Linked DNA regions of Xenopus tropicalis. The protein of the gene in region 1 interacts with the protein of each later gene in a biochemical or structural test. Links are inferred from orthologs where the notes say so. Each region holds a gene or a part of one and is shown in the gene's direction. Other genes may lie near its edges.

What was found. The genes of interacting proteins can lie anywhere in the genome.
Region 2: the proteins of dnm1l (region 1) and fis1 form a complex in vitro, tested with the Homo sapiens proteins (2 studies listed by BioGRID). The link is inferred for Xenopus tropicalis from reciprocal best matches to the Homo sapiens genes DNM1L and FIS1.

What each region holds. Positions count from the first base shown.
Region 1 is NC_030679.2:4,784,085-4,789,798, reverse strand, and holds part of dnm1l (dynamin-1-like protein), read left to right. Parts: intron 1-41; coding exon 42-162; intron 163-493; coding exon 494-625; intron 626-1,157; coding exon 1,158-1,364; intron 1,365-2,319; coding exon 2,320-2,440; intron 2,441-2,528; coding exon 2,529-2,684; intron 2,685-3,860; coding exon 3,861-3,950; intron 3,951-4,050; coding exon 4,051-4,143; intron 4,144-5,664; coding exon 5,665-5,714. UniProt on the Homo sapiens protein: Functions in mitochondrial and peroxisomal division.
Region 2 is NC_030679.2:148,612,899-148,619,090, reverse strand, and holds the start of fis1 (mitochondrial fission 1 protein), read left to right. Parts: upstream 1-2,630; 5' UTR 2,631-2,633; coding exon 2,634-2,678; intron 2,679-6,192. UniProt on the Homo sapiens protein: Involved in the fragmentation of the mitochondrial network and its perinuclear clustering. Plays a minor role in the recruitment and association of the fission mediator dynamin-related protein 1 (DNM1L) to the mitochondrial surface and mitochondrial fission.

The sequences.
Region 1 (5,714 bases):
GGTCACATGTTCCTAAATTTTCCCCGATCCCATTTATCCAGGTCGCAGGACTCTCGCCGTCATAACCAAGCTGGACCTGATGGACGCAGGGACGGACGCTATGGATGTGCTTCTGGGACGGGTCATCCCGGTCAAACTTGGCATCATCGGAGTGGTCAACAGGTATCCAGATCCGTTACCTTTTTACCATATACAATGGCATGGTCGCAGCTTGGGCAGCACAGATCTAAAGGGTTATTGGGGGTCATTTATCAACACTAAGCACGATTACCCATGGGCAGTAACCCGTGGCAACCAATCAAATTGCTGCATTCATGGTTTTACCTGCAGCTGGCTGAAAAAAAAGAGAATTTCCGATTGGTTGCTATGGATTGCACCCCATATAATGAGAGCCAGTCGCCATTTATTTCTCGGAATGGGGCTGAGCTATTGGCTGGAGAAAGGCAATAGCTTCATATGGTGAGAACCCTAATTATTGATTTCTAATTCAAAGGAGCCAGTTGGACATTAATAACAAAAAGAGCGTGGCCGACTCTATCCGGGATGAGTACGGGTTCCTGCAGAAGAAATACCCCTCCCTGGCAAACAGGAACGGAACCAAATATCTTGCACGGACTCTTAACAGGTAACGCTTCCTTCCAAAATGGCCACCATTAGGTTAACTTTTAGTATATTACAGAATGGCCTCTTCTTAGCAAGTTTTCAATTGGTCTTTATTTTTCATTCTTTATAGTTTTTGAATTCTTTTCCTTCCTCTTCTGCCTCTTTCCTGCTCTCAAATGGGAGTCACTGACCCCGGCAGCCAAAAACCTATTCCTACAGTTTTATTGTCACTTATTTTATATTTAGGCCTTCCTCTATCCATATTCCCGTGTCTAATTCAAGCCACTGCCTGGTTGCTAGGTAAAATTGGACCCTAGCAACCTGATAGCTGCTTGAAATTCCAAACTGGAGAGCTGCTGAATAAAAAGCTAAATATTTCTAAAACGGCAAATAATAAAAAATGAAGACCAATTGCAGTTTGTCTTTAAAGGTGAACCACCCCTTTAATGCCTGCTCTGGGTAACAGCAATGGAATCTGGGAGGTATTACTCGGTACAACTATATGTTGGCAGCAAGAGGATAAAATGCCCCATATGTATATGCCGTGTCTGTAGGCTACTGATGCACCACATCCGCGACTGTCTGCCGGAGCTGAAGACCAGAATCAACGTCCTGGCCGCCCAGTACCAGTCCCTGCTGAACAGCTACGGGGAACCCGTGGAAGACAAGAGCGCCACGTTACTGCAGCTCATTACTAAGTTTGCCACAGAGTATTGCAACACCATCGAAGGAACAGCAAAATACATAGAAACCTCTGAACTGTAAGTAGTGTGGGGGCGGGGTAAGTAAGTTACAATCATTGGAGGGTGGTTTAGTTACTTCCATGTCTAGCGTGAATCTCCACCCCTTTTGCTTTCTGATCCCTCCTTCTCTCTCCAACTAAGACCCCCAAAGAGGTGCCTACTGAGCATGCTTGCTGCCTTTGGTCAAGTTAAAATCAATCAGGCATACGCAATAGGCACCTCTGTGGGGTCTTGAGGTCCCCATACACGGGCCGATTGTAGCTGCCGATATTGGTCCCTTGGACTGATTCGGCATCTTATCGGCCCGTGTAGGGGCAGAAACGAAGGCCATGCCCGACCAATATCTGGCCTAAAATTGGCCAGATATCGATCGGGCATGTTAAAAGATTCAGTCGGATTGGGGAACGCGTCGGCTTGTTGATGCAGTCCCCGAAGCGACTGCCCCATTGCCGCCAATATAATTCGATCGTTTGGCCCCAGGGCCAAATGACCGAATTAGCCTACACATTCCCCGATATCGCCCACCCGTAGGTGGGGATATCGGGTGAAGATCCGCTCACTTGGCAATCTCGCCAAGCGAGCGAATCTTCACGTGTATGGGGGACCTTTAGTAGGAGAGAGAGAAGCAGGGCTCAGAAAGCAAAAGGTGCGGAGATTCACGCTAGACACGGAAGTAACTAAAAGAGCTGCGGTCCAGCCGCTTGTAATAGAGCAACAAATTGAATCTGTGTGGGGATTAAGGTGAGTTATTCTAGTTATTTCGTTATTTTAGAGATTTATTTTAGGGATTTAAAGTTTACTTATCCTTGAATGATAAGTGGGTGGGGCCTGTATGAAGGAGATATTCTTAATATCCAGGTCATTTTTGCTTTCACTGATTCATTTATACAATGTAGTTGTGCTTCAAAGCCACTTCCCATTTTAACCCATTCACGGCAAGACCCCCTTGAGCTATCGCTTTGCATATAAACAGGTGCGGAGGGGCTCGCATCTGCTACATCTTCCACGAGACGTTCGGAAGGACGCTGGAATCCGTAGACCCGCTGGGCGGCCTCACCACCATCGATATCCTTACGGCCATTAGAAACGCAACGGTGAGCCGTTTGCCCGGCGATTATCGCTTTATCGGGGGGTGCCAATGGCTTTGGGGGTAACCATTTCCTGTTTTGTCTCTGTGTATAGGGCCCCCGGCCGGCCTTGTTTGTGCCGGAGGTCTCCTTCGAGCTGCTGGTGAAGAGACAGGTGAAACGGCTGGAGGAGCCGAGTTTGCGCTGCGTGGAGCTGGTCCATGAGGAGATGCAGAGGATAATCCAGCACTGCAGTAACTACAGCACGCAGGTAGCAACGCTCGGCTTTCTACAACACAATGTCACATTGTAGGGGCGTTCGATTACAGGTGCTCAGTGTCCTGCTGATGGTCGGGCACTGGCGGGTACCCTGCAGGTTCCGGGTAGGATATTCAGATGTGGGTATAGATGCTGGTTGGTAGGTTCTGAGTCTTAAGGTCGCCAAGCGAGCGGATCTTCTCCCGATATCCCCCACCTATGGGTGGGCAATATCGGGAGAATCGAGGGTCAAACTATAAACAATTATAACGACGGGTATAGGTAAAGTTGGTCCAGGGGCCACATCAACGAGACGATGCGGTCCCCGATACGACTAGATTTTCTAACCTGCCCGATCGAGATTTGGCCCCGATGTCGGACAGGCCTGACGGTAGTGCCCATACACGGGCCGATTAGCTGTCGAATTGGTCCAAGGGACCCATATCGGCAGCTACTATCAGCCCGTGTATGGGGACCTTTACCCATATTATCTATATTTTTTTTTTTTTCTGCCATTGCCCATTTTTGATGATGTCACTTCTGGCCAAATCCTTCTGGGTGGGTTTTGGGGTTTGGCCGAACCCAAAAAAGTGGGGTTCGGTGCATCCCTAGTTATGGGTCTGTATTAGTGATGTGCTGGTTGACCCACACCCAATCGTAACCCATCTGCTCCCAACCCGAACCCTACCCAGCTTCTGCCCTGTTTTTATAGACCCGCCCCCGCCTGCAATGATGTCACAAAAGGGGCGTGCCTATAAATTCAGAAGCTGGAAAAAGGCAGCTGGCAGAGCTCAACCCAAACCCACCCGCAAGTGATGTGCCGAGGTTGTCCCGAACCCCCCCCCCGTAGGTGTCTGGCCGGCCCACACAGTACTAGTCGGCATGTCCGGGTCGGGTCCAGGTCTCATAAATTGGTTCCACACATGACTCTCTAGGTCGGGGATCGTCAACATTTTTAAACAGGGGGCCACAGACTGTTGGGGGGCCAGACTATAGTTAGTCCTCAAACTACAGCCCCCCTGCTCCCCACTGTGTCCTCACCCCTGGCTACTACCTCTCTGCCTCAGCGCGGCCCTCAGCCCCAGTGCGTCACACAGGCCGTAGTTTGGGGACCCCTGCTCTAGGTCGTCCAATAGAAATCATTATCAATAGAACGGGGTCTGTAGCCGCCATGTTATTCACCTTTCAGGAGCTGCTGAGGTTCCCGAAGCTTCACGATGCCATAGTCGAGGTGGTTACGAGTCTCCTGCGGAAGCGACTGCCGGTTACTAATGAGATGGTAAGAGACGAAGCGCTCGCCCTTTGCCCACTGCACCTTCTACCCCGATGCCCTTTTGCAGATTTTTAACCCCTTATGACACCCGGTTGTTGGCGTGCAGGTACATAACTTGGTGGCCATCGAACTCGCCTACATCAACACCAAACACCCGGACTTTGCCGATGCCTGCGGGCTGATGAATAACAATATAGAGGTAAGTGCATTCAGGGTTTCATACCCCAGTACAGTAATGGAACTTATTACCCAGAATGCTCGGTACCTGGGGGCTGTTCTGGATAAGGGGGCTTTCCATAAGTAGGATCTCCATACCTTAAGTCTGCAGCTGGACTTTTTTGCACCAATAAGAATGACCTATATATGTAAAGGTCGGGGGGGGGGGGGTTACCATTAAATTACTTAACTATGTAGTAAAACTGCCAATTCTAAGCAACTTTTCAATTGGTCTTCATTACTTATTTTGTATAGTTTTTGAATTATTTGCCTCCTTCTGACTCTTTGCAGCTTTCAAATGGGGGTCACTGACCCCGGCAGCCAAACCCTATTGCTCTGTGAGGCTCCAGTTTTATTGTTATTGTTACTTTTTATTCCTTATCTTTCTATTCAGCCCCTCCTCTATTCATATTCCTGTCTCTCATTCACACCACTCCCTGGTTGCTAAGGTAATTTGAGCCCTAGCAACAGGATAACTGACCCCGGCAGCCAAACCCTATTGCTCTGTGAGGCTCCAGTTTTATTGTTATTGTTACTTTTTATTCCTTATCTTTCTATTCAGCCCCTCCTCTATTCATATTCCTGTCTCTCATTCACACCACTCCCTGGTTGCTAAGGTAATTTGAGCCCTAGCAACAGGATAACTGACCCCCGGCAGCCAAAACCTATTGCTCTGTGAGGCTCCAGTTTTATTGTTATTGTTACTTTTTATTCCTTATCTTTCTATTCAGCCCCTCCCCTATTCATATTCCTGGCTCTCATCCAATCAACTCCCTGGTTGCAAAGGTAATTTGAGCCCTAGCAACAGGATAACTGACCCCGGCAGCCAAACCCTATTGCTCTGTGAGGCTCCAGTTTTATTGTTATTGTTACTTTTTATTCCTTATCTTTCTATTCAGCCCCTCCCCTATTCATCTACCCGTCTCTTATTCCAATCACTCCCTGGTTGCTAAGGTAATTTGAGCCCTAGCAACAGGATGACTGACCCCGGCAGCCAAAACCTATTGCTCTGTGAGGCTCCAGTTTTATTGTTATTGTTACTTTTTATTCCTTATCTTTCTATTCAGCCCCTCCTCCTTTTCATATACCAGTCTCACATTGCTGGTTGCTAAGGTCATTTGGACCCTGGCAACCAGATAACAGCTACAAATTCCAAACTGAAGAGTTGCTGAACAAATATTAAAATCAATTTAAAAACCACAAATAATACAAAAATGAAGACCAATTGCAAACTGTCTCAGAATATCCCTCTGCATCATACTAAAAGTTAACTCATTAGGGTCGAGTACAAGGTACTGTTACAGAGAAAAAGGAAATAATTTAAAAAATAAGAATTATTTGATGAAAATGGAGTCTATGGGAGATGGCCTTCCTGTAATTCGGGGCTTTCTGGATAATGGATCCCGTACCTGTATGGTGTGTTGCTATATGTTGTTATGGTCCATGTACACAAATACAAGTGCTGTTCAACCAATCAGAATCTGTTGTACTTTCAAACCCACAGGAACAGCGGCGGAACAGAATCGCTCGGGAGTTGCCTCCGCCCAGGGAAAA
Region 2 (6,192 bases), about 140 Mb from region 1:
GACGTTGGATGGAGAAGTCTTCCCTTGCCCACACCATGTGTTTCCTTATAATAGAGTGGAAATTCCCACTCCAGTAGTTGCTCACAACCATCACCATCTCAAGACCATAGTACGAGAGATACCACCGCTAGAGAGCAAAGCAAAGTTTACTCTAATGAATCACATGGTGTGGGCAAGGGAAGACTTCTCCATCCAACGTCTCTATGATGAAACCAGATGCTCGTCTACCAGCTTATATAAACCACTGGTAGACGAGCATCTGGTTTCATTATAGAGACGTTGGATGGAGAAGTTTTCCCTTGCCCACACCATGTGTTTCATTATAATAGAGTGGAAATTCCCACTCCAGTAGTTGCTCACAACCATCACCATCTCAAGACCATAGCACGAGAGATACCACCACTAGACGAAGCAAAGTTTACTCTAATGAATCACATTGTGTGGGCAAGCGAAGACTTCTACATCCAACGTCTCCATAATGAAACCAGATGCTCGTCTACCAGTGGTTTCAGCTACCTCAGAGCAGGTTTTCGAGGTATATGGGGCTGGTGGGCTATTTATGTTGAACATGTTGAACATCCTTCTGCTTTCCTGGCGATTGGCAGCTGGGTAAACATTTACAAGGCATATTTTTGAGCATCATTTCCGCCTAAGGCCTTTTCCACACACCCCCGTGCATGTAGGTGTAACTGCCCCATGTAGTTCATCTTCCTTCCCCACCACCATGCTGTGGGAGGGGAGGAGGGCACTTGGTAAGCCATGGGGGTAGACCTGGATGGAGGGCTGCTAAATGCTGGTCGATGCCACATTCAGAACATTTAACAATTAGTGATGAGTGAATCTGTCCCATTTAATAGGCAACATTTTTTATGAGCAACTTTTTTTCTTACTCCATGTTTTTTAAGGTCCAACAATAAAGAATGGATTATGGATTTTTAATTCATATCATTTGGAGGTGTGGCTTATGTTGTGCTTAATGTACGCGGGGCCGACCCCTGTGAATATACGGACTGTGACAGAGGGGGGACGGACAGACACATACATAATATATAGAATAAGCCCATCCCTGCTCAAAGCAATATGACTTGGCACCACTAGATGGCAGCACTGTACTATAAATTAAAGGGGCAGTATCCCTCTAATACACCTTTCCTAGCAACGGGCACAATAAAAATGTTGAAATTACATTCTGCTTATTGTTTTAATCAAAAAAAAAATTTGGTTTCCCCCCCGCGGTGGGGGGGGTTGGATGGGGCAATGACCAGGGGTGGTCTCGGGGCGCCCAGTTTGGAAATCCGGCCCTGAACATTGTGCTATATGACATTAACCCCTACCGGTATTTTATAAACAGGGAAAATGGTTCGGAGCCCCCCTTCTACCTTTAACCCAACAAACCTCTCTCTTATCTAAGCAGCAGCCTTTCGAGCAGCTCATTATCGGGGCTTCTCAGTGGACTGGGAATTCGTTTTATTAGTTCCTTTGCAAGTTCTGTGGGACAGGGAGTGACAGGAAGTGCTAAAGAGAAAAGACCCAAGGGGACCAAAACTGAATCACAGATACAATTGGTTTAACCCAGGCAATGGAACTTTCCAAAAACACTGGGTGGGGGGGGGGGGCAATTAATAATGCTTAGGGCATAATTTGGCCTCATATTGTGTGAAATAAGATGAGATTGTATAACAGGGGCAGGGGTGCTGGAGTCTAACAGGGATATATTTATTATAGTGTGTAACCATCCCCAGGGATGCTGCCCATAGCAACCAATCAGATCTTTGTTTTTGTTTAATAACTTGACTGTTCAATTCTAATTGCTGATTGGTTGCTATGGGCAAGCTCTCCAGTGATGTTTGCTTACATACTATAAAAACTGTGCCCCTGGACCAATCACAGAGCTGCCCAAATGTAACGGTGCTAGCGACCCAGTAACTAAGCAACTAGGGCTAAAACATTACGCAAAGCAGAGTTGATTAACTTGCAGTATGCACAATATAGATAAGGCTGCAAGGGCCAATAGGATGCACCGACTGCGGGGTTGCCAGAATTCTGCCAGTCAGGTCTAAAACCAGCCCAAAACTAGCCAAAAGCCACTTTGAAAGTAGCCCAAAAATAGCCCAATGTGCGCAATGAAAAACAATTCTAAATTCCAAAGCAGGCTGTAGACAGGTTGAGCCTGAATAGAATAGAAATGGGAGCCTCTGTCTATACTGTCCAACTGCATCCTGGGTATTGTAGTTTTATATTAATCCGAGCTGTAGGCTAATTGTTAGATACAAACTACATTACCCAGCATGCAGTGGGACAGGCATACTAGGTTCCAAACTACAAACCCGCCAAGGCTCCAAAAAATAGCCTAAACTGTACTTTGGCGGGTTTGTACTTTGGAAACCTGCAGGGGCTGTAAATTAGTAGCCCAATTTGGTGGGAAAACCGCCATCCCTGACTGACTGGCACTGTGCGCGGCTTTCCCAGTTAATAGGTAGGCGCCGTGATAAGCACTCGCCCTCAACAAACATGGCGGCGCCAGCGGTTTTGTAGCAAACGGAACTTCCCAAATGAAAGATGGCGGGCGGAAGGCAGGGCCTATAGGCAGAGCTTGGGAGTCAGCTGACAGTGCGCTTCCTGTCGGGGTGAGGATGGAGGCCGTGCTGTCCGATCCGGTGGATACGGGGGATCTGTTGGTAAGGGGGGGGGTGTCTGTCCGACTGGTGTCTCACAGGGGTTTCCTGTCTCACTGTGGGAAGCCGCCCTGTCACTGTGTCCCCTGGGCCTGAACTCGCCCTGTCAGACTGGCTCATATTGATGATGTCATAGCCCCGGGGCGTGCGTGTAAGTGACGTTACTTTCGTTACTTTGTGGGGCATGACGTCATGGGAAGGGAACTCAGTTTGTGGCTGATTTTATACTGTGTGTGTGGGAAGGTGTCACAGCTTGGAATTGTTCTTGTGTTTGTGCGTGATGTCACGGGGGGCTGGGTGCCTGTGGGTGATGTCACAGGGGGGCTGGGTGCCTGTGGGTGATGTCACAGGGGGGCTGGGTGCCTGTGGGTGATGTCACAGGGGGGCTGGGTGCCTGTGGGTGATGTCACAGGGGGCTGGGTGCCTGTGGGTGATGTCACAGGGGGGGTGGGTGCCTGTGGGTGATGTCACAGGGGGGCTGGGTGCCTGTGCGTGATGTCGCGGGGGGTGGGTGCCTGTGGGTGATGTCACAGGGGGGGTGGGTGCCTGTGGGTGATGTCACAGCGGGGCTGGGTGCCTGTGGGTGATGTCAGGGGGGGCTGGGTGCCTGTGGGTGATGTCACAGGGGGGCTGGGTGCCTGTGGGTGATGTCAGGGGGGGCTGGGTGCCTGTGGGTGATGTCACAGGGGGGTGGGTGCCTGTGGGTGATGTCACAGCGGGGCTGGGTGCCTGTGGGTGATGTCACAGGGGGGGTGGGTGCCTGTGGGTGATGTCACAGGGGGGCTGGGTGCCTGTGGGTGATGTCAGGGGGGGCTGGGTGCCTGTGGGTGATGTCAGGGGGGGCTGGGTGCCTGTGGGTGATGTGTCAGGGGGGGCTGGGTGCCTGTGGGTGATGTCACAGGGGGGGCTGGGTGCCTGTGGGTGATGTCACAGGGGGGGCTGGGTGCCTGTGGGTGATGTCACAGGGGGGGCTGGGTGCCTGGGGGTGATGTCAGGGGGGGCTGGGTGCCTGGGGGTGATGTCAGGGGGGGCTGGGTGCCTGGGGGTGATGTCACAGGGGGGGGCTGGGTGCCTGTGGGTGATGTCACAGGGGGGGCTGGGTGCCTATACACACAGGGGCAGAGGGGCACTCACACTATAACAACAGAAGGCTCAGTGACTGTTAGAGGCCCCGCCCCCGCATGTCCCACTGTTGAATTCCCACCCTTACATTGGCTGATTTGATACCAACCTTGCCAACCATTCATATCTGTACGTGTAGCAACGGCGCCATTTTGCCAACCACTGACATCACAACTCAGCGTGTCCCTACCAATCAGATATGGGTGCCACCCAGCCAATCACAGACGTGCGTCCCGCAGCTCTGCTCCTGCCCTGTTACTGGGGATCTGGCTCAGAGCTCATTACAGCAAATGCTTTATAACCTTGCCAACCATTACATGTCCCCTGCAGGGCACCATCACCTTGCCAACCATTACATGTCCCCTGCAGGGCACCACCATCTTGCCAACCATTACATGTCCCCTGCAGGGCACCATCACCTTGCCAACCATTACATGTCCCCTGCAGGGCACCATCACCTTGCCAACCATTACATGTCCCCTGCAGGGCACCACCATCTTGCCAACCATTACATGTCCCCTGCAGGGCACCACCACCTTGCCAACCATTACATGTCCCCTGCAGGGCACCATCACCTTGCCAACCATTACATGTCCCCTGCAGGGCACCACCACCTTGCCAACCATTACATGTCCCCTGCAGGGCACCATCACCTTGCCAACCATTACATGTCCCCTGCAGGGCACCATCTTGCCAACCATTACATGTCCCCTGCAGGGCACCATCACCTTGCCAACCATTACATGTCCCCTGCAGGGCACCATCACCTTGCCAACCATTACATGTCCCCTGCAGGGCACCATCACTTTGCCAACCATTACATGTCCCCTGCAGGGCACCATCACCTTGCCAACCATTACATGTCCCCTGCAGGGCACCATCACCTTGCCAACCATTACATGTCCCCTGCAGGGCACCATCACCTTGCCAACCATTACATGTCCCCTACAGGGCACCATCACCTTGCCAACCATTACATGTCCCCTGCAGGGCACCATCACCTTGCCAACCATTACATGTCCCCTGCAGGGCACCATCTTGCCAACCATTACATGTCCCCTGCAGGGCACCATCACCTTGCCAACCATTACATGTCCCCTGCAGGGCACCATCACCTTGCCAACCATTACATGTCCCCTGCAGGGCACCACCACCTTGCCAACCATTACATGTCCCCTGCAGGGCACCATCACCTTGCCAACCATTACATGTCCCCTGCAGGGCACCACCATCTTGCCAACCATTACATGTCCCCTGCAGGGCACCATCACCTTGCCAACCATTACATGTCCCCTGCAGGGCACCACCACCTTGCCAACCATTACATGTCCCCTGCAGGGCACCATCACCTTGCCAACCATTACATGTCCCCTGCAGGGCACCATCTTGCCAACCATTACATGTCCCCTGCAGGGCACCATCACCTTGCCAACCATTACATGTCCCCTGCAGGGCACCATCACCTTGCCAACCATTACATGTCCCCTGCAGGGCACCACCATCTTGCCAACCATTACATGTCCCCTGCAGGGCACCATCACCTTGCCAACCATTACATGTCCCCTGCAGGGCACCACCACCTTGCCAACCATTACATGTCCCCTGCAGGGCACCATCACCTTGCCAACCATTACATGTCCCCTGCAGGGCACCATCACCTTGCCAACCATTACATGTCCCCTGCAGGGCACCATCACCTTGCCAACCATTACATGTCCCCTGCAGGGCACCATCACCTTGCCAACCATTACATGTCCCCTGCAGGGCACCATCACTTTGCCAACCATTACATGTCCCCTGCAGGGCACCATCACCTTGCCAACCATTACATGTCCCCTGCAGGGCACCATCACCTTGCCAACCATTACATGTCCCCTACAGGGCACCATCACCTTGCCAACCATTACATGTCCCCTGCAGGGCACCATCACCTTGCCAACCATTACATGTCCCCTGCAGGGCACCATCTTGCCAACCATTACATGTCCCCTGCAGGGCACCATCACCTTGCCAACCATTACATGTCCCCTGCAGGGCACCATCACCATGCCAACCTTTACATGTCCCCTGCAGGGCACCATCTTGCCAACCATTACATGTCCCCTGCAGGGCACCATCATCTTGCCAACCATTACATGTCCCCTGCAGGGCACCATCACCTTGCCAACCATTACATGTCCCCTGCAGGGCACCATCACCTTGCCAACCATTACATGTCCCCTGCAGGGCACCATCACCTTGCCAACCATTACATGTCCCCTGCTGGGCACCATCACCTTGCCAACCATTACATGTCCCCTGCAGGGCACCATCTTGCCAACCATTACATGTCCCCTGCAGGGCACCATCATCTTGCCAACCATTACATGTCCCCTGCAGGGCACCATCACCTTGC